Ovis aries: one gene and its partners. The protein of the gene in region 1 interacts with the protein of each later gene in a biochemical or structural test. Links are inferred from orthologs where the notes say so. Each region holds a gene or a part of one and is shown in the gene's direction. Other genes may lie near its edges.

Region 1 (7,610 bases):
CTGGCATGATACCAGGACTCTGTGAGGGCAGGAGCTGTGTCTCCCTTTCTGTCCTCTCCCCCACAGGGCCAGACAACCGGCTCCAGGTCTGCACCCATGACTCACCCCACTGAGTCACCCTGCACACAGGAAAGCACCCTGGACCAGGAATCAGCACTCTCCCTGCTGCCTGTCCCTTGTAACCCTGGGCAAGCCTCCTAGTAGATGAGTCCCGGTCTCGCATCTGTCAAACTGGGCAACCAGCACTTGCTGTGTGGGTCACTCAAGATTGAGGTCTGGCCAAGTGGAAGGGGTGTGGCTGTCTCTCAGGCCAGGCTACATCTGAGCTAGCTTTGGGCCGGACTTTCTAGGGAAGAAGGGATGGCTGGAACAGTGCCTCCAGCCTGTCTGCCAGCCAGCTAACCTGAGCCCACAGTCTGGGAGAAGTGCCAGGCTCTGACACACTGCACAGCAGGAGGCTGGCTCAACTCCAGAGCAACACCTTTGGCAGCCCCCGGGGAGGGGAAAGGGGAATGTTTGGCTCCAGGTCAAGAGCGTCTAGGCCAGGGCACGGAGGGGGCAGCTGGGGGTGTGTGAGTGGCTGCTGCTCAACAAGAGGCTGGCAGAAACCCGGAAAGGAGCCTCTGCTACTGACTAACCCCCAGCCACCATCCCTCTCCAGCTCTGCAAAGATCTTCCCATTAGTCCAGTGGAGCTGGGCTCCTGCTTAGCTACCCTCAGCTTCTAGATAGGAAATAAGCTCTCAGGCTTGGGGCTGGGATGCAGGGTTGGGAATACAGGGGAAGGAGAACGAGATGGGGCAATAACCTAGATCTCCTTCCCCCCAAATGGAGGGGTTCCTGCAATCTTGCTGAGAGTAGAAACTAAACGAGGTGGTCACTCAGCATCAGACTGTGAACTGAGAAATCTTGGGGAAAGAGGGGGCCTGAGCCTGAGTCTGGATGAGATTCTGGGGGGAAGGCCGGAGGGGTGGGAGCCACAAAGCCTGGAACTCTGGAGGTTTGGGGAGGGGGTGATGCTGCAGACCCCAAGGCAATAAAACTAAGGAGGGAGGTGGTGTCTGGCCTCTAGCAGAGATGTGAGGCGTTCTGGAGGTGAAGGTCCAGAAACAGTCTGCGTCCAGAAGGAGGGATGCTGAGTGGTTGAGTCGAGGGAGGATTGCGTTGGGACGGGGCAGCGGCTCTGGGGAGCGACCTCCGGGAGGGATCGAACGGATGTTGGGAACGCAAGGGAACGAGGTCCCGGGGTCTGTGACCCTTCAGCCCCTTCGGAGCACCTTAAGCGGGATGGGGTGGGAGCCTGGGTGCCAAGAGCCCCAGAGCTGGGCTCTCGGCTGGGACCCACTGGGGCGGGGCAGGCGCGGGGCAGGCGCGGGGCGGGGCCGGGCTGGGGGCTGGGCCGGGGTCCCGGGGGCCGGGGCGGGGCCGGGCTGGCGCTGCGCAGCCGCGGGGCGGCCGCCGCGCATGCGGGGCTCACCGGGCTGCAGCCGGCGCCGCTGCCACTCCCGGGAGCATGAAGGACCGAACCCAGGAGCTCCGCACGGTGAGTCCAGCCCCTGCGCGGCGCCGCTGGCCGCCGGCGCCCAGGGCCCGGTCCGCTTCCCGACCGACTCTGGCGGCCCCTGGGGCGGTCGCCCCTGCGTCCCCGGCCAGGGCGGGAGCGAGCGGTGCCGAGCCGGCGACCCCACCGCACTCTGGGTCCGCCCCTCGGACCCACTGGGGTCACGAGCTCGCGTGAGCTCGGCTGCGATGGCCCGCGGGCTGGCGGCTGGAACCTGGGGTCCTAGATAAACTTTTCGGCCCCCCCCCTTGTTTTCGGAGGGATATTGTGGCATATCGGTGGCGGGACCGAAGCTTGGGCTCCCCGTCGCCCGGCGGAGCAGGTCCCGACCCTTGTCTCCCCGCCGTGCCTCCTCACTGACCCGCCTGAACTCCCTCTGGTTTAGACCGACGGCGGGACCTGTGGGAAGGGAAGGGGCCAGGGGCGGTCCCCTGTCCAGAGCCCGGCTGCGGGGCGCGCTGCAGAACCCGGCCGCTCGGGTGGGGCCGGGCTCCTCGGGCGGGCGCTGTCTCGTGGGACGGCCGCCGCCCCCATCACCTTCCGTCACCTGTAGCTCCCATCACCTGTGGCTCCCCAGCCGGTGCTGATCGGCAGCTGCTGCCCTGCCCGATCCGGGAGGGGTCAGGCCCGCTCTCGTTCCCTCTTCTTGGCTTCCGGGCAGCCGGGAGCCGGCGTTTCCAGACCCTTCCTGGGTTTCCAGATCGGATTCCGGCTTGAACCTATTTTTTTCCACCTGTGTTTCGGAGGCCACTGGGGTGTGGCTTCTGGGGCGTGGTTCCGGTGGGGGGAGCAGAAGGATGCGCAAAGGTTTCGAGTCAGAGCCCGCCCTCTGCCAGCCTAGACAGAGACCCCTGCGCCTGCTCCTTATCATCAAAGCCCCTCTCCCCTGGCCTCTGCCCTTAAAGATGGCAATCTTGGGAGGGGCTACAGGGCCGGGACTGTGCAGAGAAGGAAGTGAAGCCTGCCTGTGAGGAACCCGGACATCAGGGCTCTAAACCAGGTTGAGGCTCCTCTGAGGCCCTGGCTGACCACCCTGCTGACTTCTTGCAGGAGTAAGGGGTGGGGGCAGAGTCTCCCTAGAACCCTTCCCCTGCTACCCAGCTTAGAGCTGGAGACCTGGTCCCCTTATATGGAAAGTCCCAAGTATCCTTTGGGTTTGTGATCCCATGGCTGGTCCTCTCTGCACACAGCTTCCCTGCACTTGTGCCTGGCTCTCCCCCATTGTACCAGTCTTGTCTCCTGGGCAGCCTGGGGCTGGTACCTGTGCCCTCCTGCCTCCATCACCCCCTTGCTCTGGCTGCCAGCCCCCACTCTCCCATTAGACCTGTATTATTCCTGGCTGAGTGCCCAGCACCCCCCGCTCCAGGGTAAACCCCTGGAGGTTTCAAAGGAAGAAGATGGTCCCTCATGTCGAATATGGTGTCTATAAACACTTCCCCCCCAGCTTTGCGGTTGCCCTCAAGTTTCCTGTGCTCGGTTGAATCAGAAGGAGTGTTGTTATCTTGGGGATGAAGGGTGTGTAGTGCATTTCCTGGTGTTTGGGTGCCTGGTGGGTCAGACCAGAGTGTCTGTGGGAACCAGTGCTCAGGGGGAACAGAGCCCTTGACATCTGACGTCTTCTGACTCATCACCTTCATCCCCTTCACTGAAGGGAAAACAGAGGCATGAGAGAGAGATGTGGCTAGCCTGGCAGATCAAGTGGGATGAGGGAAAGGGGCTTTACCTAGGCCTGAAAACAGTCAGACTTAGACGTGGCTGAGACCTAAGGCCTAAGAGACATTGGACTGTAGGAGCTTGAAGCCCGGTCTTTGCTCTGGTGAATCCCTCCCCCACCCCAGCACATATACACGCACACACACTAGCCAGACCCGTCCTTAGGTGATGAGGTCTGGCTTCTCTAAAGTAATCTGAGGCTTCCTCTGCAGATGTTCCCCTACTCCAGGCATTCACTCCCCACGCAGGCTGCCGTACTCGTGGCTGCGTGGCCCTGTCCCTCAGGGGCTGCTAGCACCCTTGAGGATCGGCTGGAAGGAGCCCACACTGAGTGGGGTGCAACCATTAGTCTAGGGAGGGCGGCCGTTCCCACAAGTCTTCCTTTGGGCTGCACAGATTCCCATCTAGGAAGTAGGGATAGAAAAACTGAGAACCCAGCTTCTCAGGGCAAGCGGTCACAGGTCTCCAGACTCCGATTCCATATCTGGGGGAGACCTTCACCCCCAGGAACCAGAATCCCCAAGGAACTGAGAGGCCAGTGCTGGCTGGGCTGGACAGAGGGTGGTGCTTGGGACAGCTGCTTGCACCATCCCCACCCTCCATCCCCCTCCCTCCCCCCTCCTCCTTCCTCACCCCACGCCACCACATTTGGAAGAAGGAAAGCAAGCGAAGGGAGCTTATTTATAAAAGTCACACTTGGGGAAGGAGCTGGCATGTTTCCTCCGCACTGCAGGCCGGGCCCAGCCCTCCAGCCTTCTCCATCCCTCCTCATCTCTCACGGGGGCTGATCCTCTCCTGCAGAGAGAGAAGGAAGGGGTCATCCAGGGCCAGTGTGGGGGCCTGAAAGCGTCCAACAGCCCTCAGAGATCAAAAGGGCAACCTGGAGCCCAAGGAGGGGTGCGGACGTGTGCGACCAGAGGGTATAAAACCAGGGGGACTTCAGGGACAGGTGTCCCCAGGCAGCCCCAGCCTGGCCAGCAGCTACCTCCATCCCCCTGTTCAGAGGTCTCCCCAGTGTTCTTTCCGAGGACTGCTTGGAGCTGACACCCCTCCCTGGGCCCAGAACGGTGTGTATGCGCCTCCTGGGCCATGAGACACAGCGGGGGCCTGTGGCAGGAGCCAGAGCCAGAGAGAGGAGGAAGCGTGGGGCAGAACAGGAACCTTCCTGGAAGAAGAGGACTGGGATCGCCCGGGGGAGGAGCTGGATTTGACTGGGAGGAGGGAGGATGGGCCAATATAAGGGACCCATGTGACAAAAGGGAGAGGGGCTGGCGATGCCTGGGCCTGACACCCAGAGTCCCCGCTTGCTCACCGGGACAGCATGCGGGCCTGAGTGGTGAAGCCCAGTGACCCCTCTGCCGACTGAAGGGACTGAGGGTCTCGGAGCAAGAACAGGCAGGTGGGTGCTTTAACCTTATGCTCATTTGTCTGCATAATGGAGCCTGCCCACTTCGCCCTGCAGAGCAGAAGAAAGGGGGGTGTAAGAATAGGCCCAGGCTAGGGGCCCTTCTTTCCATCACCTCCTTGGGATTTCTTTAAAAAAATTATTAATAATAATGAATTTGGGCACATGTTCATCTGAGGTGCAGATGACGTCCAGGGACTGTCTAGTGCCACTTCCTATTCTACAAAGTGGAAAACTGAGGTCCAGAAAGGGCCAGGAGTTCATCTCAGGTCACACAGCACCTGGAGGGAGGCAGAGCCCAGCCCCTCCCCACACCCTGAAGCTGCTTCCCTGAGTTGTGCTGGGGCCCTGCTACGGGGTAGACTGGCAGAGGTGATCTGGTGGGCGGGTGGGGGCATGGTTTGCAGGGTGGGGAAGAGGAAGGGGTCAGAGAGAGTCCTTTCTTTCTGGAGACCTAGCTCAGTCTCTCGCACACCCCTGACTCAGCTCTGGGCCTCTCTGCTTTAGTGAGATAGGCTTTGATTAGTCATTAAAAAGAAGGGGAAAAAAAAAATAGCCCTCAAGACAGACAACAGCAACTCCTGCTCCAGCAGCAATGAATCAACCGTGCCTGCTGGCCGGCCGCCATCTCCCGGGACAGGCCTGGAGGCTGCCTGGCCTCCGCACCTCTTGGAGGAATCGCACTCTTATTTCCAGGAAGGGATCGTGGAATCCTGGTGCCTCTGCCCAGAGAGACCACCAGGGCTGCACAGTGGGGGCTTCTAGTGGGATCCCCTCCCCTGTCTCAACAGGTCCCTGTGGTGGGGGCAGTGCTCACACGCACCCTGACTTCCTTTCCTGATTGCTCAGGCTGGAGGTGATGAGACCAGAGCCAAGATAGCCAGCTGGCCAGAGAACAGGCCAGGGGTTCCCAATCCTGGGGGGCTTTAAGAAAAAAAAAAAACAACCTCACCAGCGCCACCCCCATAGATTCTCATTTGGTCTGGAAGCTGTTGTGTTTTTTTTTTTTTTTTTTTTTTTTTAACTACCCCCAAGGGACTCTGTTGCTGGTCCAAGGTTGAGAACCCCTGAAAGATACTTAGAAATGTGCATGCATGCTCAGTCATGTCCGACTCTTTGTGACCCCGTGGACTGTAGCCCACCAGGCTCCTCTGTCCATGGGATCGTCCAAGCAAGAATGCTGGAATGGGTTGCCGTTTCCTCCTCCAGGGGATCTTCCCAATCCAGGGATCAAACCCACATCTCCTGCAAGGGGAAGGAAGATTCTTTATCACTGAGCCACCTGGGACGCCACGAATTAAAAACAACAGGATCAAAAAACAAACACCAGAGCCAATTGGATGTTGGTTGGATATGAGAGGAGGAGGAAGAGTGGATGCCCCCCAGTTTCTGGCTTGGGAGACTCTTTAAGAACGGGGGCTCAGGAGGAAGAAGTGGAACTTAGCTCTGGCCAGGTGGTTGGCAAGGTGCCCATGTGATGTCTGGGGGAGTTTGTCGGAAGACAGTTGTACCTCGGAGCTTGTAACTGCCTCACGACTCCAGCTGCCGCCTCTGCACCACAGCCTCTCCGGTCCCCCACTCTAGTCCAGCCGTCTTTCCGGAGCTGTGACTGCCACTTTGAGAGGGTTGGCCGATTCCCAAGGGAGCTGGGGCCCTAATCAATCAGGGCCTTGGCCTAGATGGGGATAAAGTAGGAGGGGGCGACAAAGGCATAAACCATCAGATTCTCACAGACTGGGACAAGGATCAGAACAAATGAAGATCCTTCATTTGAGCCCAAAAGCCAACCAAGTACACAGGGAGGGGAAGGGCTTCTTCCTTGGCAGGAAGAACTGTGTGACGACTTCTGTGGTCTCTGGCTGCATTAACAGAGGTCGACTTTGTAGGAAGAGGGAGGTGGTGGGTCAGAGCTTTGGCCCTGCTCCGACCACAGTCAGCAGCAGATTCAGTTTCCATCTTGTCCTGCTGGAGAAGACAGAGAGTAAGTGGAACAGATCTGGGGCGGGGGCTTCGACTTAAGGCCTCCGGGAAGGATCTAAAGCGGAGGGAACTTGGTCAACTTGAGAAGGAAAAACCAGGGAGGATGCAGATGCCGCCCTCAGATCTCTGGCCCTCCGATTTCTGGCAGGGCCAGCCCAGGGAGAGGGCACCAACAGGTTCTCTATGGCCTGGGGCCAACTTGTAGGAAAGGGAAGGGCTTTCTAACAGTTGGGGCTGCCCTAGATAGACAGAAGAGCCTGGGGGAGCTAGTGAGCTCTCCACCACTGGAGGTGTGAAAGCTGAGACTAGAAGCTGTGCCCAGGGTGACTTTTCAGGTCTCCCAGGGCTTAAGAGTCTGTTGCAGTGGCTCCAGTAGGGATGTGAATAGGGTGTGGGGAATGAGAGGAGCGAGGTCCCATCCTTGGGGAGATGAGGAAGGCTTCCGAAAGAGCTGCCATCTGATGAAGAAGGGAATGTCGGTTTCACAGAATCAGCACTGCAGGCAGGGGGAAGCCGCCTGGGGTCTGCAGGGAGGACAGTGGGCAGATTCTAGGGGCGGGAGATGATTATAGGTGGGGCGTGCTGGGATCAGATTTCAGACTGGAGCAATGAGATGAAGTGGGGGTGGGTGGAGGGGTGAGAGTGAAAAGAGCCTGAGGAGGAAGTTGTAGCATTTGGAAGGGATGCCCCGGGAGCATCCAGTCCCAGAGCCTCGGTCGGTTGACACAGGCTGTGAGGTCAGGCCCTCGTGTATGTGTGCGTGTGTGTGTTCTCAGTTGTGTCCGACTCTTTGCCACCCCATGGACTGTAGCCTGCAGGTTCCTCTATCTATGGGATTTTCCAGGCAAGAACACTGGCATGGGCTGCCATTTCCTCCTCCAGGGGATCTTCCCGACCCAGGGATCGAACCTCCGGTCTCCCATGCCTCCTGCATTGGCAAGCAGGTTCTTTA
Region 2 (6,826 bases), on another chromosome or scaffold:
AGTGTCTCCGCAGCTGGCCCCCTCTCTGCACCTGGAAGTCCCCACACCGCTGGCCAGGCCCCTGCCGTCGCTCATCTCATCTCACTGGTCCCCTTGCCTCCGAACCCAACCCGGTAACCCCCTGCCTCCCTCCCAGCCCCTTCCCACACTGTTTCTTTGTCTGGAAAGGGAGGCTGACAACACTCTCTGAAAAGATGACTCTGAACGTGAGGTGAGCTGGAGCTTAGGCGGCAAGTGTGCTGGGGTGGCCGCGGGCGCTCAGGGCCTCGTGTGTTCTCCTCCTCTGCCTCTCCCTGTACAGGCCCCGGCCTGGCGTTCCTGGCGTACCCGGAGGCCGTCACCCAGTTGCCCATCTCCCCGCTCTGGGCCATCCTCTTCTTCTCCATGCTGCTCATGCTGGGCATTGATAGCCAGGTGAGGACGCCGTCCCTGGCACCTCGAGGAGCCCCTGCCAGCCTCCCGGGTCCAGGAACCAGCCAGGAGAGCAGCCCACTGTCTTAGGTCCCTGGGAACATGGCCACGAGTTTCAGACCCCCTAGAATATTCCGGCATGTGAGATGTTAGGGGCAGGTCAGCCACCTTGCCCAGTTTCCAGATGGGGAAACTGATGCCCAGAGGGAAGGCCCTCTTCTGAGGTCACGGAGGGAGGTGGCGGGAGAGTCAGGCCTGGATCCCAGGCTCTCCTGGCCCTGCTGGGCCCAAGGGTCAGGCTTGGGTTGGGGTTGGGGTTGGGGGGTGGGGGCTGGAGCTGCCCGGGTGGCTGACCTCCGCCCCCCCGCAGTTCTGCACAGTGGAGGGCTTCATCACCGCACTGGTGGACGAGTACCCCAGGCTGCTCCGCAACCGCCGGGAGCTGTTCATCGCCGCCGTCTGCCTCGTCTCCTACCTGATCGGCCTGTCCAACATCACCCAGGTGGGCGCCTGGCACGTCTCTGCCGCTGCTGCTACCTGGGGCCCCCAGCAGGCCTGCTGTGCCCCCTCTCATGTGTCTGCTGAGCACCGTCTCTGTGCCAGGCCCCAAGCCATGACTCAGACAGGGTTCCTGCCTTCAAGGGGCTCCCAGGCTGGTGGGAGATGCAGACGCTGAGGGGGAAATGAGAACACAGCCTCCCCAACCTGACGTGGGGCCCCAGCGACTGCTTCCTGGAGGAGGAAATGCGGGGTTGAGCCTGAAAGACTCACAGAGTTAACCCGGGGAGTCAGGTTGCAGCTGGGCCTTGGAGGCTGATGCTCTCCTTTCCTTTCATTTCCACCTTCCTGTTTCTATCCGGAGAGTGAGCAGGCCTCTCTGCATTCAGAGGCTTCCAAGGCACTTCCCTGGTGGTCCGCTGGCTAGGACTCTGGGCTCCCAGTGCAGGGGGCCCAGGGTTCCATCCCTGGTCAGGGAACTAGATCCTGAGTGCGACAACTGAGGGCCCCACGTGCCTCAGTTAAACTGAGACCTAGCACAGCCAAACACATAAATAAAATTGTTTTTTTAAAGAAAGAGCTTCCAGTCTAGTTGGAAGAGAGACACACAACTGAGGAATTACATGATAAATACAAATGAGCCTGAAGCTGTGAGCCCAGCCCTGTTGGTCTGATTTATGAGCCGCAAAAGCCATCCCTGGATCCAGATGCCGTTTGGCCCCAGGTTTATCCTTGCTCTGCTACTCCATTCTTCATTGTTGCTCACCGGCTGCTGTGGGTCTGGCGTGACCCTGCAGATTCTGCAGTTAATGTGGCAGAATGAGATGGGAGAGTGGATGGAGAATGAGCAGCAGGGCGGGAGGGCCTCACTGGTGCGGGAGAGCCAGCCAAGGGAGAGGCCTCGCCAGGGGAGAGACCTCCACAGCAGGTGCAGAGGCCCTGGGGTGGGAATGGACTTGGCGAGTGTGGGGGACAGGAGGAAGGCCAGTGTCGAGGTGACGGAGTCGGGGGGTAGGTCGTGGGTGCAGAGCCGGATTGGGCAGGACGTTCCAAATACGTTTTGGATTTTATTTTATCTGTCTTTTTATGTGTTACATTACGGTCTTATTTAAGTTATGGAAGAGCTTATGGGGGGAGACATGACTTGTTTGACATTGTGAACATGCGGCTCGGGTGACCAGCTCCTCTTTCTGCCCTCCAGCCTTCCCAGAAATGGGGTGTTTGCATCCGCCACTCAGACACTTTATTCCTGGTCCCCAGAATCCACGCTCACATCCTTGCAGGGCTGCAAGGCCCCCTGCCCTTCCTCTAATCTACTGTCAGGCCTTCTTGCTGCAGGGTAGCCTAACCCCAACCTGCACAGCCTATGTTGACGCTGAATTGAATGCACTGGACCCCAGGGTAAGTGGACCCATTCTGCCCTCTTCTCCTCTTGCAGGGGGGCATTTATGTCTTCAAACTCTTCGATTACTACTCAGCCAGCGGCATGAGCCTTCTGTTCCTCGTGTTCTTTGAATGTGTCTCCATTTCCTGGTTTTACGGTAAGCACCAGCCCCTCCTCCGCCATTCATTCCTTCATCCATCCAGTCATCCTTCCTCCACTCATCATTCTGCAAATACAGTTTCAACACCAGGCCTTTTCCATGCATTAATTTATTTGGTCCTCACAGCAATTCAATGAAGTTAGCATAGGACGTCCCATGTTTAGAAGATACCCTAGCTGAAACTCCAATAGTTTGGCAACCTGATGCAAAGAGCTGACTCATTGGAAAAGACCCTGATGCTGGGAAAGATTGAAGGCAGAAGGAGAAGGGGACAACAGAGGATGAGCTAGTTGGATGGCATCACCAACTCGATGGACATGAGTTTGGGTAAACTCCGGGAGAGTTGGACTTGACTGAGCGACTGAACTGAACTGAACTGAACTCTTGAGTTAAACTCCTTTAAAGTGGGAGCCAACATTTCTTCATAAATTTGGGGATCAAAGATTATTTCAAATTGTATCTAGAAAAAGAAAAGCAAAACTACAAAAAAAAGTTCTAAAGTTAAATATTTTTTAAAAGCTAAACTATAAGTAAAAGCATGCAGTGTTTTAGAACAGTAGTCATGTACGGTTAAGAGAGCTAGACCATAAAGAAGGCTGAGCACCTTTCAAGTTGCTTTTCAAGCTGCAGTACCAGAGAAGACTCTTGAGAGTCCCTTGGACTGCAAAGAGATTAAACCAGTCAGTCCTAAAGGAAATCAACCCTGAGTATTCATTGAAAGGACTGACACTGAAGTTGAAGCTCCAATACCTTGGCCACCTGATACGAAGAGCCAGCTACTCATTGGAAAAGACCTTGATGTTGGGAAAGATCGAGGGCAGGAGGAGAAGAGGGTATTAGAAGAGTATTAGATGGTTGGCATCACCGACTCAATGGATGTCAATTTGAGCAAACTCTGGGAGATAGTGAAGGACAGAGGATCCTGGTGTGCTACAATCTATGGGGATGCAAAGAGTCAGACGTGACTTAGCGACTGAACAACGGCAACAATCATAGAACAAAGAATGCAGGACATGGTGATTTGTGTTTGTTGATCCTGTGGCCTGAGTTTCTGGACTCAACTGCCTGATAGTGAAAAAGCTGTCCTTTTGGGCACTTTGGTTTTCACAGCAAGCTGGTGGTTTTGGAAGAAGTGTTCTCCAGGGTCCCTTGGGGTCCCTGTAGCCCTGCCCCCTCACCCTCCTCATCATTCTCCCTTCTTGCTCTCCACCTGGTCTGACCCTCCCAGGTCCTCATTCTCAATGACCTTGCTTTTAGTCTGAGCAGCGCCCAGTGTGAACTCTCGTGAACTTCAGGACCTCTGCGGCTTCTTTCTGCACGACTGGGAGTTCTTCCATGCAGTCTTATCTGCAGCCGCTCATGCAATAGATCAGCAGGGAAAACCTTTGCCCAGCAAAGCTTCAAAGGCCTTGCTGGGAGAGATGTTGAGTGGGAGGGACCTGAGGCTGGTGGGGCTCCTTCCTGTAGGTACATCCTCTTGGTGGTAGATGGTCTCACCTTCAAGTGACTGCCCCACTTGCTGGGGGTGGTGGGGGTGGGGGGGGGCTTTGGTTATTGAGCACTTAGCTAACAAGGACTCCCTACCCTGGAGCATTCGCCCTGTGTTACCGACGAGGAAACTGAGGCTCAGAGAGGTTAGGTGACTTGGCCGTGGCTGCGGTGTGAGGAAGCAGCAGGTCGGGGCCTCGAGCCCACTGCTCTCTCATCCCTCCTGCTCTCGTCCCAACTGTCACAGGCGTCAACCGGTTCTATGACAACATCCAAGAGATGGTCGGCTCCAGGCCCTGCATCTGGTGGAAGCTCTGTTGGTCCTTCTTCACCCCCATCATTGTGGCGGTAAGGGCAGGGCCAGACCGGACCCTGGGGTGACTCGGGGCCAGAGAGAAACTTCCGGAGCCAAAGGCAGGTGGAAGAGCCCCAGACCTCTATTCCCTAGGAATACTGCTCTCTCCCATCTGTGCTGAGCATTTCCTCTGTTCCCTGGAGTCTTCACAAACCTCAGCACAGTAGCTGTCTTTGCCTCACTTCACTGCTGTGGGGGGCTGGGGCTCACCAGCCAGCCTCACCCAGTGGGCAGGTGCTGTCCTCAAACCGTGTTGGCCTGATTCTGAAGCCAAACCATCCACGTGGGGAGGCCCCGCATTCTCAGCGTCCCTCATTCCCTCCTGCAAGGGGGAACTAAGGCAGGAACCGGCCTGGGAGGGACCACCCAGGTCTTTGCAGTGGGCCTGGGCCACTGTATATATTGTGTGCGGCACAAGGGCACCCAGCCAACGGCAGGCTGGGGCGACCTCCCACCCCTGTTCTAGTTACCTGGACGAAGGGATGCCTTTTGCAATTGGTCCTCCCGGAGGAACCGCCTTTTTCTATTGGTTCTTCCAGAGAGGGCACCTTTTTCTTATTGGCTCTCCCAGCAGGGAGGCCCTTTTCTATTGGCTGTCACAGAGAAGGCACCTTTTATTATTGGTCCTCTCAGAGATGGTGGCTTCTTCTGTTCTACACAAAGTTACCTTATATCCTAGCAGTGGCCCTGGATGCGGGATTCCCAAGATGCTGGGCCCTTGTCAGCTCCAGGGCAGGGTGGAGCGCAGTGGCCCTGCCATCTACAGGGCCTGAGGAAGGGCCTTGGCAGTCCAGTCTGGGTGACCGCCGGCCCCTCCCTCTCGCCCCCGCCCCAGGGCGTGTTCATTTTCAGCGCCGTGCAGATGACCCCTCTCACCATGGGGAGCTACGTCTTCCCCAAGTGGGGCCAGGGCGTGGGCTGGCTCATGGCTCTGTCTTCCATGGTTCTCATCCCCGGATACATGGCCTACATGTTCCTCACCTTAAAGGGCTCCCTGAAGCAGGTAAGCCCGTTCCTTGCCCTTCCTGTCGCTGGGCCCCTTCTCTTCTGTGCTGAGCACCACCCCTGCCCTTGTGAGCGCAGTCTAGCTGGGGAGAGGACAGGTCGATAGCCAATGACAGTAGAGTGTCAGAGGTCACAACTGGGGTGAACCAGGGAGGCGGGTTAGCCCTGCCCGCATTGAGGAGGATTGGAGAGGCTTTCTGAAAGAGGGGACAACAAAGAAAAGACCTAAGGACAAACCACACTTAAAAGTAGAAGCAGGAAGGAAAGATACAAACGAGCTTCTTTACAAAACAGAAACGGATCTACAGACGTAGAAAACAAACTTATGGTTACCAAAGGGAAAGGAGATAAGGGAGGAATACATTAGGAAGCTGGGGTTAGCATACATACAGTGATATACATAAAGCAGGCAAGAAGGACCTGCTGGAGAGCACAGGGCACACTGCTCAATAGTCTGTAATAACCTATAAGAACAAATCTGAAAAGAATAGATAGATAAACAGTAGAAGCAGAGAGAATGTCCCTGGCAGAGGGTAGGAAGCATGTGCAAAGGCCCAGGGGTATAAACTGATCAGTGAGGCTGGCAGGCAGCATGGGGAGGCAGCATGCAGGGAGGAGGTGAGAGATGAGGCTGGGAATGTAAGAAGGTTGGCCCAGATCATGAAGGGCTTGGAAAACCAGGACAAGAACTTTGGACTTTATCCTGAGGGTTGTGCGGAGCCGTTGAGGAGCAGGTGAAGGGTGGAATCAGATGTGCTAAGAGCTTAACTCATGAAAGGCATGCTATCCCCAGCGGGGGCCCCCTAGCACATGCTGGGTCCATAGCAGCTCTTTGTTAAATTATATTGAATCCTTGAGTGAACAAGGCTGTGCTGGAGGTCCAGGGGCTGAGACATTGACGGAGTAAGTGTGGGCTGGGGGATTCACTGAGGACGGATGCAGGGCCACAGCTGGGGAGGACCTGGATCCGCACTTCTTAGCCTGACTTCCCACCAAGACCCACTCAGAGCCAGCAAGAGAGGCTGCAGTTCTGCAGCACAGGGAAGACGTGGCAGGAAGCCTCTTCTCCACCCCTTGCAGTCAGGTATTAGCAGATTAGGGCCCTTGTGGCCTTTTCTTCCAGCTCCACGTCCAAGGCTTTTTTTTCCCACGATTCTCTGCTAAGTCTCAAAAGGTAGTCAGGTCTCAGAGTGGCAGAGATCACAGCCTGTACAAAGGCCCCGTGGTGGGAAACAGGAAGGCTCGTCTGAGGACAGATGCTGATGGGGTCGGATGGGGCAGGGCGTGCAGAGAAGGTGGAAGCGGGTCACCCCATCAGCAGACGCACACTGAGCAGTTGCTATGTGCCAGACACCACTGTCAGTGCCGGGGACTCAGCCCTGAGCCCAAGTCCCATCTTCACTGGCGTCCCTGGTGGCTCAGCAGGAGACATGGTCCAATCCCTGGGTCGGGAAGATCCCCTGGAGGAGGACATGGCTACCCACTCCAGTATTCTTGCCTGGAGAATCCCCCTGGACGGAGGAGC
Region 3 (7,552 bases), on another chromosome or scaffold:
GTAACCAGCCTCCCTCCTTTCTTTTCCATTCTTTTTGCCTTTTTTTAGGCTTCCCTCTTACTCCTACTCTCTTCCTAAGTCCCCACCGTTCCCCTAAGCAGTGGCAACTGTTGTGGCTAAACTTCCAATCATTCTTTCCTTGTAAAATTTACTGAAGCTTATTGACAGGTGCAAGAGCTTCAGAACAGACAGTCCCGAGTTCAAATCTTGACTTGCTGCTGCTGCTGCTAAGTCGCTTCAGTCGTGTCCGACTCTGTGTGACCCCATAGACGGCAGCCCACCAGGCTCCCCTGTCCCTGGGATTCTCCAGGCAAGAACGCTGGAGTGGGTTGCCATTTCCTTCTCCAGTGCATGAAAAGTGAAAGTGAAGTCGCTCAGCCGCGTCCGACTTTTAGCGACCTCATGGACTGCAGCCCACCAGGCTCCTCGGTCCATGGGATTTTCCAGGCAAGAGTACTGGAGTGGGGTGCCATTACCTTCAGTTCAGTTCAGTTCAGTCGCTCAGTCGTGTCCGACTCTTTGCGACCCCATGAATTGCAGCACGTCAGGCCTCCCTGTCCAGCACCAACTCCCCGAGTTCACTCAAACTAATGTCCTCGAGTCGGTGAAGCCATCCAGCCATCTCATCCTCTGTTGTCCCCTTCTCCTCCTGCCCCCAATCCCTCCCAGCATCAGAGTCTTTTCCAAGGAGTCAACTCTTCTAATGAGGTGGCCAAAGTACTGGAGTTTCAGCTTCAGCATCATTCCTTCCAAAGAACACCCAGGACTGATCTCCTTCAGAATGGACTGGTTGGATCTCCTTGCAGTCTAAGGGACTCTCAAGAGTCTTCTCCAACACCACACTTCAAAAGCATCAATTCTTTGGCGCTCAGCCTTCTTTACAGTCCAACTCTCACATCCATACATGAATACTGGAAAAACTATAGCCTTGACTAGACGGACCTTAGTCAGCAAAGTAATGTCTCTGCTTTTGAATATGCCATCTAGGTTGGTCATAACTTTCCTTCCAAGGAGTAAGCGTCTTAATTTCATGGCTGCAATCACCATCTGCAGTGATTTTGGAGCCCAAAAAAATAAAGTCTGACACTGTTTCCACTCTTTCTCCATCTATTTCCCATGAAGTGATGGGACCAGATGCCATGATCTTTGTTTTCTCAATGTTGAGCTCTAAGCCAACTTCTTCACTCTCCTCCCTCACTTTCATCAAGAGGCTTTTAGTTCCTCCTCACTTTCTGCCATAAAAGTGGTGTCATCTGCATATCTGAGGTTATTGATATTTCTCCCGGCAATCTTGATTCCAGCTTATGTTTCTTCCAGTCCAGCGTTTCTCATGATGTACTCCGCATAGAAGTTAAATAAGCAGGGTGACAATATACAGCCTTGACATACTCCTTTTCCTATTTGGAACCAGTCTGTTGTTCCATGTCCAGTTCTAACTGTTGCTTCCTGGCCTGCATACAGATTTCTCAAGAGGCAGGTTAGGTGGTCTGGTATTTCCATCTAACTCCTCTCTATCAGTAGATGACTTTGTCTCCTACTTCACAGAGAAAATAAGAGGCCAACAGATGAGAACTTCTTTAACTTCCTGTTACTAAACATACAGATTTACAAATACTTCCTGTCATTAAAATTGAGGAGATATCTTCTCTATTTTGATTCCAAGACCTTTCCTTCCCTCAGTACTTTGGACTGCCTCTACTCCTACCCACTCAAGATCTACTGACTAGTGCTTCTCTTTAAAACTATTTATTTTCTCAGTTGTATCTTACCTAGCATGCTTAAGTTTTTCCTGTCTTAATTTTAATAGCAACCAAAAAAGCAGAAACAAAAAACTTGAACACTTGTCCTCTTTCCCATTCCCTTCAAGACCATACTTTCCAAAAGCATTCTATAATGTGTCCTCATTTCTGCATCTCCTCTCTCCAAACTACGGCAATCTATCTTTAACTCTTGTCATTTCATGACATAGCTAAGATCACCAATGACCTCTGTGGTGGTATTTCTCAGATTTCATCTTCCTTGACTCCTTAGGAATAGACAACTCCTTTGAAACTTTTTATTTCCAGCACTGTGCTGTATTCTCAGGGGAGCCTGGAGCAATTTCCTGATCTACTTTTAAACTTTTCAATATTCTCAGTGATCATGGTAAACTGTAGGCTCACTTTCAAAAGTACAAGATTTTCCAAGACTTGGCCATTGCCAACTTTTAAGAACTCATTTCCCGCTTCACTGGAAGATATACGAGGAGCTTAGATGAACTACAAGGAAACTTCCAGAAGGCACTATGGTCTTCTTGGACTCTCCGATGCCCGCAGTCTGGAGACCTCTATTCCCGCCCCCACCCCTACTTCCCACCCCCACCGCCCCCACCCCTACTTCCCATCCCCCCCACCCCGCCCCCGTACCTCCGGTGCAACTCCTACTTATCCTTCATGACTTCAAAACTCACTTCCTCCGGGAACCCTTTCAGATACCCTAAGAATAAAGCTCTTAGTCCCTTGTGCGCCAGTGGCGCCTCGGATGTTCTGTATGCCAAGCACTATATTCTGTCCACTATAATGTGTTTCCCACTTCCCTGGTGGCTCAGACGGTAAAGCGTCTGTCTACAATGCGGGAGACCCAGGTTCGATCCCTGGTTTGGGATCCACTCCAGTACCATTGCCTGGAAAGTCCCATGGACAGAGGAGCCTGGTAGGCTACAGTCCATGGGGTCGCAAACAGTCGGACACGACTGAGCGACTTCATTCATTCATTCATTCATAATATGTTTACAAATCTATCTCCCAGTCTAGACAGAGGTCAGGGAAGGCATTCTATTCGCCGCCTTTTCCTCAGCATTCATCCCGCACAAGGCCAGGCACATGGGTTGCCCTCAGTGAAAGTTTGTTGCCTGAACACTGCCCACCTTTGGGCGGTACTCGAATTATCCGGTAAACGGGTGAGTCCCAGGGCTCTCCGCCTGCGTGGCAAGGAGATTTAAAGCCCTCGCACGGTGATTGGCTCCAGCTACAGGGGTGTGTCCGGGCTCGCCGCGCCGGGGAAGTGCGCAGGCGCGCAGTGCTGGCGAGCGCAGGCGCAAGAAGGTCGCAGCTGGGAGTCCGGCCTGCGGGTGTCCAGAGCTGTAGCGGCCGGAGAGTAGTGGCTGGAACTCTGCTTGGTGAGTCTCCAGGAGTGGGGAAGAGTGAGCTGGCCGGGGAGAAGATTGGGATCATAATCTCAAGGAGAAAGAGTGTATCGTGACGGTTGAAAAGTTGGTGAGGTCGGGCTTAAGGGGAGGAGGTGGCGCTCTGACCGGGACTTGGCAGGTCCGGCCCTGATCGAGGACGCTAGACGCCGGGAGACTTATCAAGCGGCCAGAGGAGGAAGGGTGGAGGGTGGTGGTTCTCTGGACTCTTCCTAGAAACCTAGCAGAGGTAAACTCCCACTCTCTAACTTCCCGCCCTCACGGTGTTGCTGCGGTCGGGATTAATAGACTGTATGGTGGCCGCAGTGATCAGAGAAACTCTGAACTAGTTGTTTGAAGGAGGGTACTGCGGTTCATAGCATTGGAGAGTCCATTCTGTCCAGGGAAGTCCAGTTTTAAAACGCGGCTTTACGGAAGACACACGAAGGAAAGGGTCGGTAAAGGATCGAATTCCACAGGGTAAGCGGGGCGGGGGAAAGTCCCGGAAAGTGTTTCACATGGGACTTTTTCTCATCGTTAGTGACCACAATGCAAGGAAAGGCAGATGGGAGTTAGAGGAAACCGAAATTCGTCAAAGTTGGGAAAAGAAGATGAGAAAGGAGTATTAACTTACATCTCTCGGGGAAGGGTGGGAGCAATAGGGAGAGGAGAGTATGGAAATTGGCAGCTTCTGACAGTGATCCCTCAGCACTGTGAAAATACTGTAGCGTCTTTGTAGCAGATCGGAGAAGGCAATGGCACCCCACTCCAGTACTCTTGCTTGGAAAATCCCATGGGCGGAGGAGCCTGGTAGGCTGCAGTCCATGGGGTCCCTAAGAGTTGGATACGACTGAGTGACTTCACTTAAACTTTTCACTTTCATGCACTGGAGAAGGAAATGGCAACCCACTCCAGCGTTCTTGCCTGGAGAATCCCAGGGACAGGGGAGCCTGGTGGGCTGCCGTCTATGGGGTCACACAGAGTCGGACACGACTGAAGTGACTTAGCAGCAGCAGCAGCAGCAGATACTTTAAGATTTGAGAGTGATATTACTCTATCTGCCGTGGTGCCCTTAAGATCGGTTTTCAGATGTCCCAGTGAGATACTGCAAGTATGGCTAGATAGAAATGGTTCTTCCACTTTCTTGTCTTGCATGGAAATTCTTGAGACATCATTAGCAAGAATACTTTGGCATCTCATCTTGAAACATTTCATAGCAAAATTTTTAAATATTACTGTTTCCGCTGCCAGCAAAGTTGATGCCAAGGCATGCAGTGATCACCTGTCATTCATTCCTTTGGCAAGAGGTAATGAGAAAAAACACATTCATGTAAATAATTAGGAGAAAAACCTTTTATATGACTCTGCTCCTTTGACAGGTCATGTGAAAGTAAATAAAATGATCATATAATTTAACCTACAACTTAAATGTTTATCAGTGTTGCTGGAGTTCTTTTTTTAGATGCTTATGGTATGTGAATATGCACTAGAAAATTGCTTTTGTCTTAGTTCCAGAGAAGGAATGATTTATTTGTGCCATTATTTTTTTTTAACAATATTACACTCTTTCCTATAAACAGTAAAATTTCTGTATGCATCTTAGTGTTTGTCTCGTTTACTCTAAATCAACTTTAGTAACAAGCTCACTGAACTACAGGTCACACCTTTTCTAATCATTGGGAACAATACCTTGAGCCAAGAAGAAAGCAAACAAATAGGCCCTGTTGCTCATGGGACACTTATGGTACTTCACTTGTTTTGAACCATTTGTTTTTTGTTGTTATAGTCGTTAAGTCATGTTGAACTCTTTGCGACCCCATGGATTGTAACCTGCCAGGTTCCCCTGTCCATAGAATTTCCCAGGCAAAAATACTAGAGTGGTTGCCATTTTCTTCTCCAGGGGATCTTCCCAGGCTAGGGATCGAACTCACATCTCTTTTGTTTGCAGGCAGATTGTTTACCACTGAGCCACCAGGGAAGCCCGTGAACTATAACAAAATCATTTCTTTTCAGCTTTAGTATATTTTTAAAAAAATGTTTTTTAATTGAAGGATAATTGCTTTTTACAAAATTTTGTGTTTTTCTGTCATTCATCAACAAGAATTAGCCATAGGTACACCCATATCCCCTGCCTCCCGAACCTCCCATCTCCCCCTTGGCAAAATCGTTTCTTGTTCTTGCTCTGCACTTTGGAAAATGCAGCTTTGGGCCTAATCTACTCATTTTTAAAATAAAGTGGAAATTGAACTACCTAAACTCTAATGTTGATGGACTCCAAAATTCTCTCAGCCTTGTGATGGTATTCATTATTGTGACACAGTTCTAACAAACTTATCTGGTGAAACCAGATAAAAGTAGAATAGCAAAAGGGAAAAAGAGGATTTTGCTCTTTGACGTTTTTGTGAAATCAGCTGAATTAAGGTACTTTGTTTCCCTCCTGTGGTTCCTATGTCTTAAACATTCTGAAATCTGTTTTTTTAACTCTTTGTACTTTGCATTCTATATATGTTAGCATTTATAATATATGACATTGCTTGCATCCAAGAGTGCTGAACCTTTTATTCCAGTGCTGTATTTTGTTTTCAGGTCTGTAGATTGACAGGAAAATAAATGACGGGGACTGGTCTTTTCTTTGTCTTGGGAGTGGTAGTGGTAGGGGCTTGGAACAGATGGATTCAGTGCCTCTAACAATTGGAGGAAGTGGATTGTGGAGCCAGGAAACAGCATCTACTGTTCTTTTGTAATATTGGTGGGGGTGGAGATGGGATTCCATTTTACTCATTTAAGTTCACTGACATTTTGGTTTTAATTTCAGTTTAGATTGAATTACTACTAAAATATTTAAGTCACTATTCACTATATTTTTCTGAAATTCCTTCATCTTCTTGATTTTTGTGAGTTCTTGTATATAAAACTTGTTTAAAATTTATTTTAACAATGTTTTGACAGTTGAGATTACCGTTAGACTGCCTCTTGATGCTTTTGGCTGCAAAGAATATAATCAGTCTGATTTCGGTGTTGACCATCTGGTGATGTCCATGTATGGTCTTCTCTTGTATTGGAGAGGGTGTTTGCTATGACCAGTGTGTTCTCTTGGCAGAACCCTATTAGCCTTTGCCTTGCTTCATTCTGTACTCCAAGGCCAAATTTGCCTGTTACTCCAGGTGTTTCTTGACTTCCTACTTTTGCATTCCATTCCCCTATAATGAAAAGGACATCTTTTGGGGGTGTTAGTTCTGGACGGTCCCAACACTTCATGGCAAATAGATGGGGAAACAGTGGAAACAGTGGCTGACTTTATTTTGGGGGGCTCCAAAATCACTGCAGATGGTGATTGCAGCCATGAAATTAAGACGCTTACTCCTTGGAAGGAAAGTTATGACCAACCTAGACAGCATATTAAAAAACAGACATTACTTTGTCAACAAAGGTCCATCTAGTCAAGGCAATGGTTTTCCAGTGGTCATGTATGGATGTGAGAGTTGGACTGTGAAGAAAGCTGAGCGCCCCAAAATTGATGCTTTTGAACTGTGGTGTTGGAGAAGACTCTTGAGAGTTCCTTGGACTGCAAGGAGATCCAGCCAGTCTATCCTAAAGGAGATCAGTCCTGGGTGTTCATTAGAGGGACTGAAGTTGAAGCTGAAACTCCAGTACTTTGGGCACCTGATGCGAAGAGTTGACTAATTTATAAAGATCCTGATGCTGGGAAAGATTGAGGGCAGAAGGAGAAGGGGACAACAGAGGATGAGATGGTTGGATGGCATCACTGACTCAATGGACATGGGTTTGGGTAGACTCTGGGAGTTGGTGATAGACAGGGAGGCCTGGCATGCTGAGGTTCATGGGGTCGCAAAGAGTCGGACACGACTGAGTGACTGAACTGAACTTGATGCTTTTAAAATAAAATTCAGGGACTTCCCTGGTGGTCCAGTGGCTGATACTCCATGTTTTCAATGCAGGGGGCCCATGTTTGATCCCTGATCAGGGAATAAGATCCCACATGCTGCAACTGAGTTTGAATGCTGCAACTGAAAGACCCTGCATGCCACAACAAAGACCCAGAGCAGCCAAATAAATATTTTTAAAAGAAATAGAAATATTTTTAAAAGAAAAAGAAAATCCAAATTTCTTGGTATAGTAGATAAGCCCTTCACAAACTATGTCCTGTCTGCCTGTTAAAGCCACCTTCACTACTCTGTACACATGCACACGCATACATACACGTTTTATTCCTGCATGTCTGTATTGTGGCACTTTTTTTTTTTTTTTTTGACCATGCTATGCAGCTTGTGGAATTTTAGTTCCCTGAGCAGGGATTGAACCCAGGCCCTGGCAGTGAAAGCACCGAGTCCTTACTACTGGACTGCCAGGGAATTCCCTGTGGCACTT
Region 4 (7,520 bases), on another chromosome or scaffold:
CAGTCCCTGGGTCAGGAAGATCCCCTGGAGAAGGAAATGATAACCAACTCCAGTATTCTCGCCTGGAGAATCCCATGGACGGAGAAGCCTGGTAGGCTACAGTCCATGGGGTCGCAAAGAGTCGGACACGACTGAGTGACTTCACCCTTCACCCTATGGAGATATACCTATTTTTTAAAAAGCTCTCCAGGTAATTCTGACCGTCTCCCAGCTGGCTTCTAATGCTTTTTTCCCTCCTCTTCACCTAGCCAACTCCTCCTCACCTGGACTCAACTATGATGAGTTCCCCATCTCCAGGCCTTCTCCTGCCTTCCCTTAACCCTCTTCAGTCCTTCTCTTGCATGATTTCCTCAATGAACTCATCACATTGTTTCACAATTATTTATTTACTTGAGGTTTGCTCCTATTTGACTGGCGAGCTCGTTGAAAGCTTTGAGTCTTCAGTACCTAGCAAAGTGTTCGACACTCAAAAAATGTAATCAGTAAACAAAATTTTCAGAGCCACTTAGAAATGGCCTGAAAAAAATCTTAAAACTTGTTTTTATCGCTGGTTACGCCTAGTGAATTAACTAGGTAATTCAATAAATATTCAATACATATTAAATTCAATACATATTAAAACAATTTTATAGGTTTCTAGTGTAAGACAGCGTTCTTGGATGCGGAAGCTCCAGAGTACTACATTTCCCGAAATTCCTGAGGCTCAGTCGCTACTGGTTTGTTGACTGTTCTTGACAGCCTGTCATTTCAACCAATACTCTGACGAGAATTTCCCTGCACCGGGCGGGAGGCGACCAATCATAAGGAAGAGGGCGGGAACTTCTTATTTGGGCTCAGAAAACCCTCTGTAACTCAGAAGCGTCAGGGGCTGGGAGTTGCTAGCTTTGGGAGAGTACGCTTCTTCCCACTTCCACCTCACTAATTAGACTTCGTCTTTATGGGTTTCCAACCTTTTCTTTACTTTTTCCTAGTTTCCACTCCTTCCTAATCAGTACCTCTGCTTCCCATCCACCTTTCCGTGTTAAACTCACTCTCCGGAAAAGGTAACCGCAGCATAAATCTATCTTTTCAAACTTGAGCTAGACATCTGCCTGTGAGCATCCAAGTGAGACTGTGACAGTGAAGCAATGGAAAGATTCGAGCTTAAACTTCCTTCTTTCCCCCTTTCTCCTTGCAAGAGTGAAGAAGCTACTGGAGATTGCTTAGTGGACAACAGCATTACAGGACGGATTGAAGATTCTGAAATGAGTGCCCGCGCTCTTTACTTCTACCCTCTCTCCCACCCCCATCTCCACCACCTTAGCGTGCGGACTGAATCCAGGGCTGATGTGTCACTGGTTGGGGCAGACACCCAGCCCTGGAACCGGTTCCCTTTGGCAGCCTATCCCATTCTAGCAGCTACCTGCCAGGTCCACGCTTTCATCCTACCAATAGTAAGAGCTTCAGGAAAGAATTCATTTCCCCGCTGCAGGTTCATCTCCTTTCCTAGTACCTTTCTAAGTCTGTCATACTCTTGCCACAGAAATAACAGTTGTCTAGACGCTCTTTTTCCAAAATCCAAATCCAAATCAACCCAAAACAAATACCATCAAAAAAGCAGCAACAATCATTTTGCAGCCAGCAGCAGGGAGTGTGTGCCTCGTTAAAGGGTGAGAATATAAACCCTCGCTCTAATGACCGATTTTGAAGTAAAGGTTTCCTGCTGCTTGGTAGTCATCAACATTTTTACTACCCCAGCTGCAGGAGAACCAGCTGCATCCACTGGCAGGGCGACTGAGATGGGAGAAATTTAGCCACGGTCTGGGATTTTCGCAGAGGATAATTTAAGCCCCAGCTCCACTCCGACGGCGGAGGGGGTGGGTACGCGCGGTGCGCATGCTCAGCAGCCCGGCTCCGCCGAGGCCCAGCTGCCGCCACCGCCGCGGCCAGCGCTGTAACCGCGGCTGCCGCTGCTGCTCGGAGCGGGCGTTGGTGCCCTGTGCCGAGGCGCCCTGTCAGGCGGGAGGGAGCGGCCGGGCGGGACCGCGGGCGGCGGCGACGGCGGTGCCTGAGGAGGGCAGCCGGGGCTCTGAAGGAGCGAGCGAGGGCGGGCCGAACCAGCCGCGGAGAAGCCAGGCAGAGAGCGCGGGGACCCACCCCGGCGCCCTGCGTGCGATGCCCGGCGGGCAGCGGCGCTGAGCGGCAAGAAGGCCAAGCGGCGAACGCGGAGAGCCGGCGACCCCCGGGAGGAAGAGGAGGAGGAGGCGGCTGATCCGGAGCGGGAGGAAGCGCTGAGGGACTGCGGGGGCCCGGGCGGGCGACGAGCGGCGGAGCCGCTGGCCATGGACGCGGCGGCGGCGGGGGCGAGCCGGGGCGGCGGCGCGGCGCAGAGTCAGCCCGCCGCCAGGTGAGGCTGGGCGGCGCGGGCTCGGGGCGCCGCCGCCACTGCTGTGCCGCCGGGCCGCGGAGTGAGGCGGCGGCGGCGGCGGCGGCTGAAGCGGCGGCCTCAGAGCGAGAGGGGTCGCCGGCGGGGCTTCTGGTCGCCGCTGCGCTCTCTCGTCGTCGCAGCATTTCCTGTTCGGATTATCTCTCGCTTCTCCCCAGCTGCCTCCTTCCCCTCACACTCCCACTCGCGCCTGCTCCTCTGCGTCCTCGGTCGAAGCTGCTCTCGGCCCGGGCCGGTTCCCCTCCGCCTGGGGACGCCCCTTACCTCGGCTCCCGGGGTGCGGGGGAGCCCCGCCGCGACCATGAGGAAATTCAACATCAGGAAGGTGCTGGACGGCCTGACCGCCGGCTCGTCCTCGGCCTCGCAGCAGCAGCAGCAGCAGCAGCACCTACCTGGGAACCGGGAGCCCGAGATCCAGGAAACGCTCCAGTCCGAGCACTTTCAGCTCTGCAAGGTGAACGGAGCGCGCAGCCCCGCGAAAATTGGGGTCGTTCTAGGGGCACCTCGGGCTTTAAGCCTGAGTGCCAGGGTTAGAACGCCAATAATACTCAATACCGCGAATAAAAGGGCTCGCTCCCACAGCACACATTTGCTTGGTGGGCTATTTTGGAGATTGACATCATCTTACTCCTCTTTTCGTTGATTTTCACATGCGGCAGTCATTTCAGGATTGCTTCCAGCATACTGACCTTTAATTCGTATTCTTAATCAACGACGTTTATATTCAAGCATTTTGATAGATCTTTCACCGACTTCCAAGTTTCCTTTGGGAAGTGTCTAACGAATATTGTTTATGAGAAAGATAGACGTGTTCAACTGGATGTTGGCTCATTTTCACCTTAAAATGTGGTAGGAGACTTCACATATGAAATCACAGGGTCTTGTTAGCCTTGTGTTTGGTGGAAAAGTTAGAAGTGGAATTTTTGCCTGTTAATTGTACGGCAATTGCCATAGTGATGTGTAATTCAGAAAGAATGATGCAGCGAATTAATTCACCAGCTGCTCAGTGAGAAATACAAACTTGTGTCTGTATTAATACCTGCCTTCCTCATAAATACCAGGCGTTCGTTAAGTCAGAGTTTAAGTGTGTATTATACTTTTTGCTTCAGTAGCCTAAAATTAAGGATTTAATACCAAGATGCAAAAATAGATGCTGTATTTATTTTCATTCTGTTACGGTTGCAACATGATGAGATAGATTTTTGCTAATTCCTTTGCTGAATCCTTAATTATGACAGTGTTTCCGTAAACGTACTTGCATTTAACATAGAAATAAAGTAAGGATGAAGTTATCACACTTGAAATAAGCATGAATTGCATTTTTAAATGAATTTACAGAATTTTTTACCACTGCCAACTTTAATAATTTATTTTCAGACATAAGAGTAAAAAGAATGTTAAATTTTTTTCTAGAGTACCTCTGTGATGAGAAAGTAGAAATGTAACACTGGGATCGATTTTTTTTTTTTTTTGGTTTCAGTGTTTACTTGCATAAGTTTTTATGTGATGTAGAATTCATAGTTTTCATAGTTTTTTTTAAAATAGCAGTGCATGTATGTGTGTTTTGTTTCAGTTATAATAGGTTCTTAATTGGTTCTAGGTTCTAATGTCTCTGTTGACTTTTCTGTTTTAAAACTTTGCTTCCTGCCCTGGTTGCTGTGATGTCACTTGCCCATGCCTAGACTGTTCGCCATGGATTTCCCTATCAACCCTCGGCCCTGGCCTTTGATCCTGTACAGAAGATCCTGGCAGTGGGAACTCAGACTGGTGCTTTAAGGCTGTATCCTTTCATTTAATTTAATTGAACTTTTCCCCAGTCATTCTCTTTGCTGATTAGTTGCTTTTCCTGTGTAATTCCAAAGAAATGGTGTGATCAGGTATTAATGTGAAATCCTGTGGTTGTTTTTCCCCTTGATTATACATACGTTCAGGTTGTGTGTTGCCTTGTTGTGTCTTGACTCTCAATTTATACACAGCTAAAAGCATGTGAAAAGAGTTCTAAAGGTTTGTAATAATAATTACTGTCTTTGCAAGGAGGTAGACGTTTCTAAGGGGAAATATATCTGCTTATAGTAGTGGTCTATTGAACAGGCTATGTTGAGGATGAAGCTTAAAGACAATTGCACGAGGCACATTTTATTTGCTTTTTAAAAATATTGTTCATAGTAGATGTTCCAGTTATGACCTATTTATTATTCTATTGAATTAGAGATTGAATTTGAATTTGTTTCTGACCTGATCATCTAAAAAAATTAGAAAACAAATGTAAATTTTATAAGTTACAAAGTGTTGCTGTTTTCTAGAAGTTTTAGAGCATTTTCTTAGTATAATGCAAATAGAGAAGTATACTATCTTGATATGTTTCCCCATCATGATCTACATTTGTGATGTATATGTAAATACTGTGAGGTTAACTGTCCTCTGAAGTATAGAGACATATTTCCTAGTTATGCATGAACTATAATTTTATCATAGCATGTTTTTCCAAATATCTACTCATTCTTCGAGATCATTTTTTCAGTCTGAACAATGGAGAATATTTAACAATTCCTCTCAAACTATTAAAACTTGAAGTAAAATTGTGTTTACTTTTACTGTGACATTTACCTACATTGCCCTTATTTTTAAACTTAAGCTTAAGATTTTAAAAAGAAAATGCTTTGTTCACCATCAATAGGGTATTTGCTTCCTATATATTAGTGAGGTAATGTGTTGGTAATAAATAGCAAAAAACCACCAGATAATAAACAGAGACACAAGGAACTGTGCTTTCCACATTTTAGATTTATCTGCCTCCTGAGAAGGGGGAGGGGGTGGGAAGCTTATGTTTGATTTAACATTTTGCATTTCCTTACCTTTCAAAGTCTTCATTTCAAAGTAGGGCTATATATGGTATCAGGATGTGCCTCGTTTCCTTTGTGATTAATGTGCTATGTTCAAAATGCTTATAAAAGTTTTCATTGAATTGTGTTACTAAGTGAAGACTATCATTCATAGTAAATATCAATAGTACTCTCATACCTAGTAAAATGGTAATATCTGACCAGGCTAGATCTCAGTTTGTGAGTTTCTAAGACAGTATGTCTAAATGGTTCTTGCCCAAATATCTAGTTGATTCTGAAATATTTTTTACTTCATTTGTTTAGATATTCCTATATCCAGTGATCAATACCTTTCTACTGGAGGGTTCCTGTTTTAGTCTTGTGAAGATGGGATTTAAATTTTGGCAGTGTGGGTACTAGTTGTCCAGCACAGCTCTGTGTAGTGGCAAAAGCAGTGCGTTGTTGATCTAGATGGACTGTTCAGAATGAAAAGCCAATTTTTTTTGTTCACAAAGAGAGTATCGCCTGGACTCAAAGGGGGAAAAGTGTGGAACTAAATTAGTTATTTTTAGATTATTTTGGTTTTCTTTTCAGTGGGTTTAATTTTTACTGTTTTCCCAGTTGAGACCCAATGTGGTCTTAATTTTTTTATGTACATAACTGTTTTTAACAGCCAGTCTGCTTCTTTTATAACTTAATATAATAAGTATTGCAAGCAAGGCTGACTTTATAAGACCAAATATTTTTCTTAAACAAGACTTTTTACCCCTAATGCATTTGAGTAATTAGCATATTATTAATACGCAAGGGGAGAGGTTAAAGTGTTAGGCCTAATGTTAATTGCCAAATGACAGTAGGGATCAGGTGTACAAACTCATCACTTATATCAGTCTTTTGCTTTTGTACATGTTTAATAGTTAAATACTATATGAAAAGGAAACCTATAATTTACATTTACACTTAATTTTTTTTAGAACTTTTCTTACTATATTTAGAATGAAATTAAGGAATTTATCAAATATATTTCTGCTTTCCCTTTTATGAGATTTATATGAACATTCCAGAGTGATAAATTGGTTTGTCTACCAGTAATACCACCTAGTCATTCCTCCTGTCAAGTTTAGGTAGAAGATAAGCTCATGAGCTTTATTATGGCTTATATTTGTAGAAAGTGACTAAGATCTTTTTATTCTTATATAATTTCTACCATATGTGGTTTAAAATTTGTTCGTTTCTCCACTTGTTTTGAAAACTGGGCAGCTATAGTTTATTTCCAAGCTCCATATTGATTTAATGTGCAGACTTATTCTAAGTCTGTTCTTTTGCCCTAGCTATGTTTTTCACTGTTTTATTCAGTTTCTTTTAGTCCTTTGTTTTTTTCTCATATTAGACTCTTATAGCCTATAATACATTTTGTTCTAAAAGATGTCTTTAGGACAGAAATATACTTGTAAATCAAAGTCTTTACTTTCATTTAACTGTGGAGCAGAGTAGGAGATTTTTAAAAGTGGGATTGGGCTATTAGAATTTGAATTGGATATCTAATTTAACTAATAGAATATCTTCCTAAATGTTGAAGGACTATATTAAGTTCTGTTTTGAGATTAGGAATAAAATATGGAATTTATATCTGATATCTAAGGTTTGTAGATAAGAACTGTGGAAATCTGAATCCTTAAATAGTATCTAACCAATAATGATGCAAGATCAATTGAATGTATTTGCAGCATTAATGTATAGCAAATGACTAATCTAATTATATAAACGTGCTTTGTGTTCAGCCTTCTTGGCTTCTGGAGAGTGAATATGAAGTTGGAGTGAACTTACTGATAGGAAGCAGGAGAGCATAATTTCATATGCCAAGTCATAGTAATGATTTAATTATCTTAATTCTCCTCTACCCATGTAGAAGTGGGTGCAGTTTGATTCTTCCAAGTAATCTAGGCATCAGAACTGTTGGGATAATATAATCATCTGTCCCCAAATGGAACACAGAAAAGGGAGAAAAAAGGTTCTAACTGAAGAATGAAGGCATTGCTAGGAATGCTGCTGTTGTCCTTATCTAGACTCCTGGTTTACTAGTATAATTTTAAATTGCATCATAGTCTGTTGTAAGCATGGTCTACCCTGATCTTATTTTTAAGGTATTTTTTCCTAAACACAATGAGATCATTTTACATATGAATATTTCAAGGACTGTGCCAAAAAATGGAAAATTTACTGAAGTTTTGTAAAAACTCATAAATTTTTTAAGTATCAAACTTATCAAAGGA

The links.
Region 2: the proteins of STX1A (region 1) and SLC6A1 form a complex in vitro, tested with the Homo sapiens proteins (2 studies listed by BioGRID). The link is inferred for Ovis aries from reciprocal best matches to the Homo sapiens genes STX1A and SLC6A1.
Region 3: the proteins of STX1A (region 1) and SNAP23 form a complex in vitro, tested with the Homo sapiens proteins (3 studies listed by BioGRID). The link is inferred for Ovis aries from reciprocal best matches to the Homo sapiens genes STX1A and SNAP23.
Region 4: the proteins of STX1A (region 1) and STXBP5 form a complex in vitro, tested with the Homo sapiens proteins (2 studies listed by BioGRID). The link is inferred for Ovis aries from reciprocal best matches to the Homo sapiens genes STX1A and STXBP5.

Annotation. Positions count from the first base shown.
Region 1 is NC_056077.1:34,005,618-34,013,227, forward strand, and holds the start of STX1A (syntaxin-1A), read left to right. Parts: upstream 1-1,484; 5' UTR 1,485-1,512; coding exon 1,513-1,542; intron 1,543-3,935; exon of another isoform or gene 3,936-4,068; intron 4,069-4,585; exon of another isoform or gene 4,586-4,729; intron 4,730-5,820; exon of another isoform or gene 5,821-5,923; intron 5,924-6,189; exon of another isoform or gene 6,190-7,610. UniProt on the Homo sapiens protein: Plays an essential role in hormone and neurotransmitter calcium-dependent exocytosis and endocytosis.
Region 2 is NC_056072.1:55,028,583-55,035,408, forward strand, and holds part of SLC6A1 (sodium- and chloride-dependent GABA transporter 1), read left to right. Parts: intron 1-301; coding exon 302-414; intron 415-781; coding exon 782-913; intron 914-2,347; coding exon 2,348-2,450; intron 2,451-4,188; coding exon 4,189-4,289; intron 4,290-5,131; coding exon 5,132-5,299; intron 5,300-6,826. UniProt on the Homo sapiens protein: Mediates transport of gamma-aminobutyric acid (GABA) together with sodium and chloride and is responsible for the reuptake of GABA from the synapse. The translocation of GABA, however, may also occur in the reverse direction leading to the release of GABA.
Region 3 is NC_056060.1:36,050,093-36,057,644, forward strand, and holds the start of SNAP23 (synaptosomal-associated protein 23), read left to right. Parts: upstream 1-3,092; 5' UTR 3,093-3,157; intron 3,158-7,552. UniProt on the Homo sapiens protein: Essential component of the high affinity receptor for the general membrane fusion machinery and an important regulator of transport vesicle docking and fusion.
Region 4 is NC_056061.1:71,707,788-71,715,307, forward strand, and holds the start of STXBP5 (syntaxin-binding protein 5), read left to right. Parts: upstream 1-2,599; 5' UTR 2,600-2,726; coding exon 2,727-2,879; intron 2,880-4,107; coding exon 4,108-4,205; intron 4,206-7,520. UniProt on the Homo sapiens protein: Plays a regulatory role in calcium-dependent exocytosis and neurotransmitter release. Inhibits membrane fusion between transport vesicles and the plasma membrane.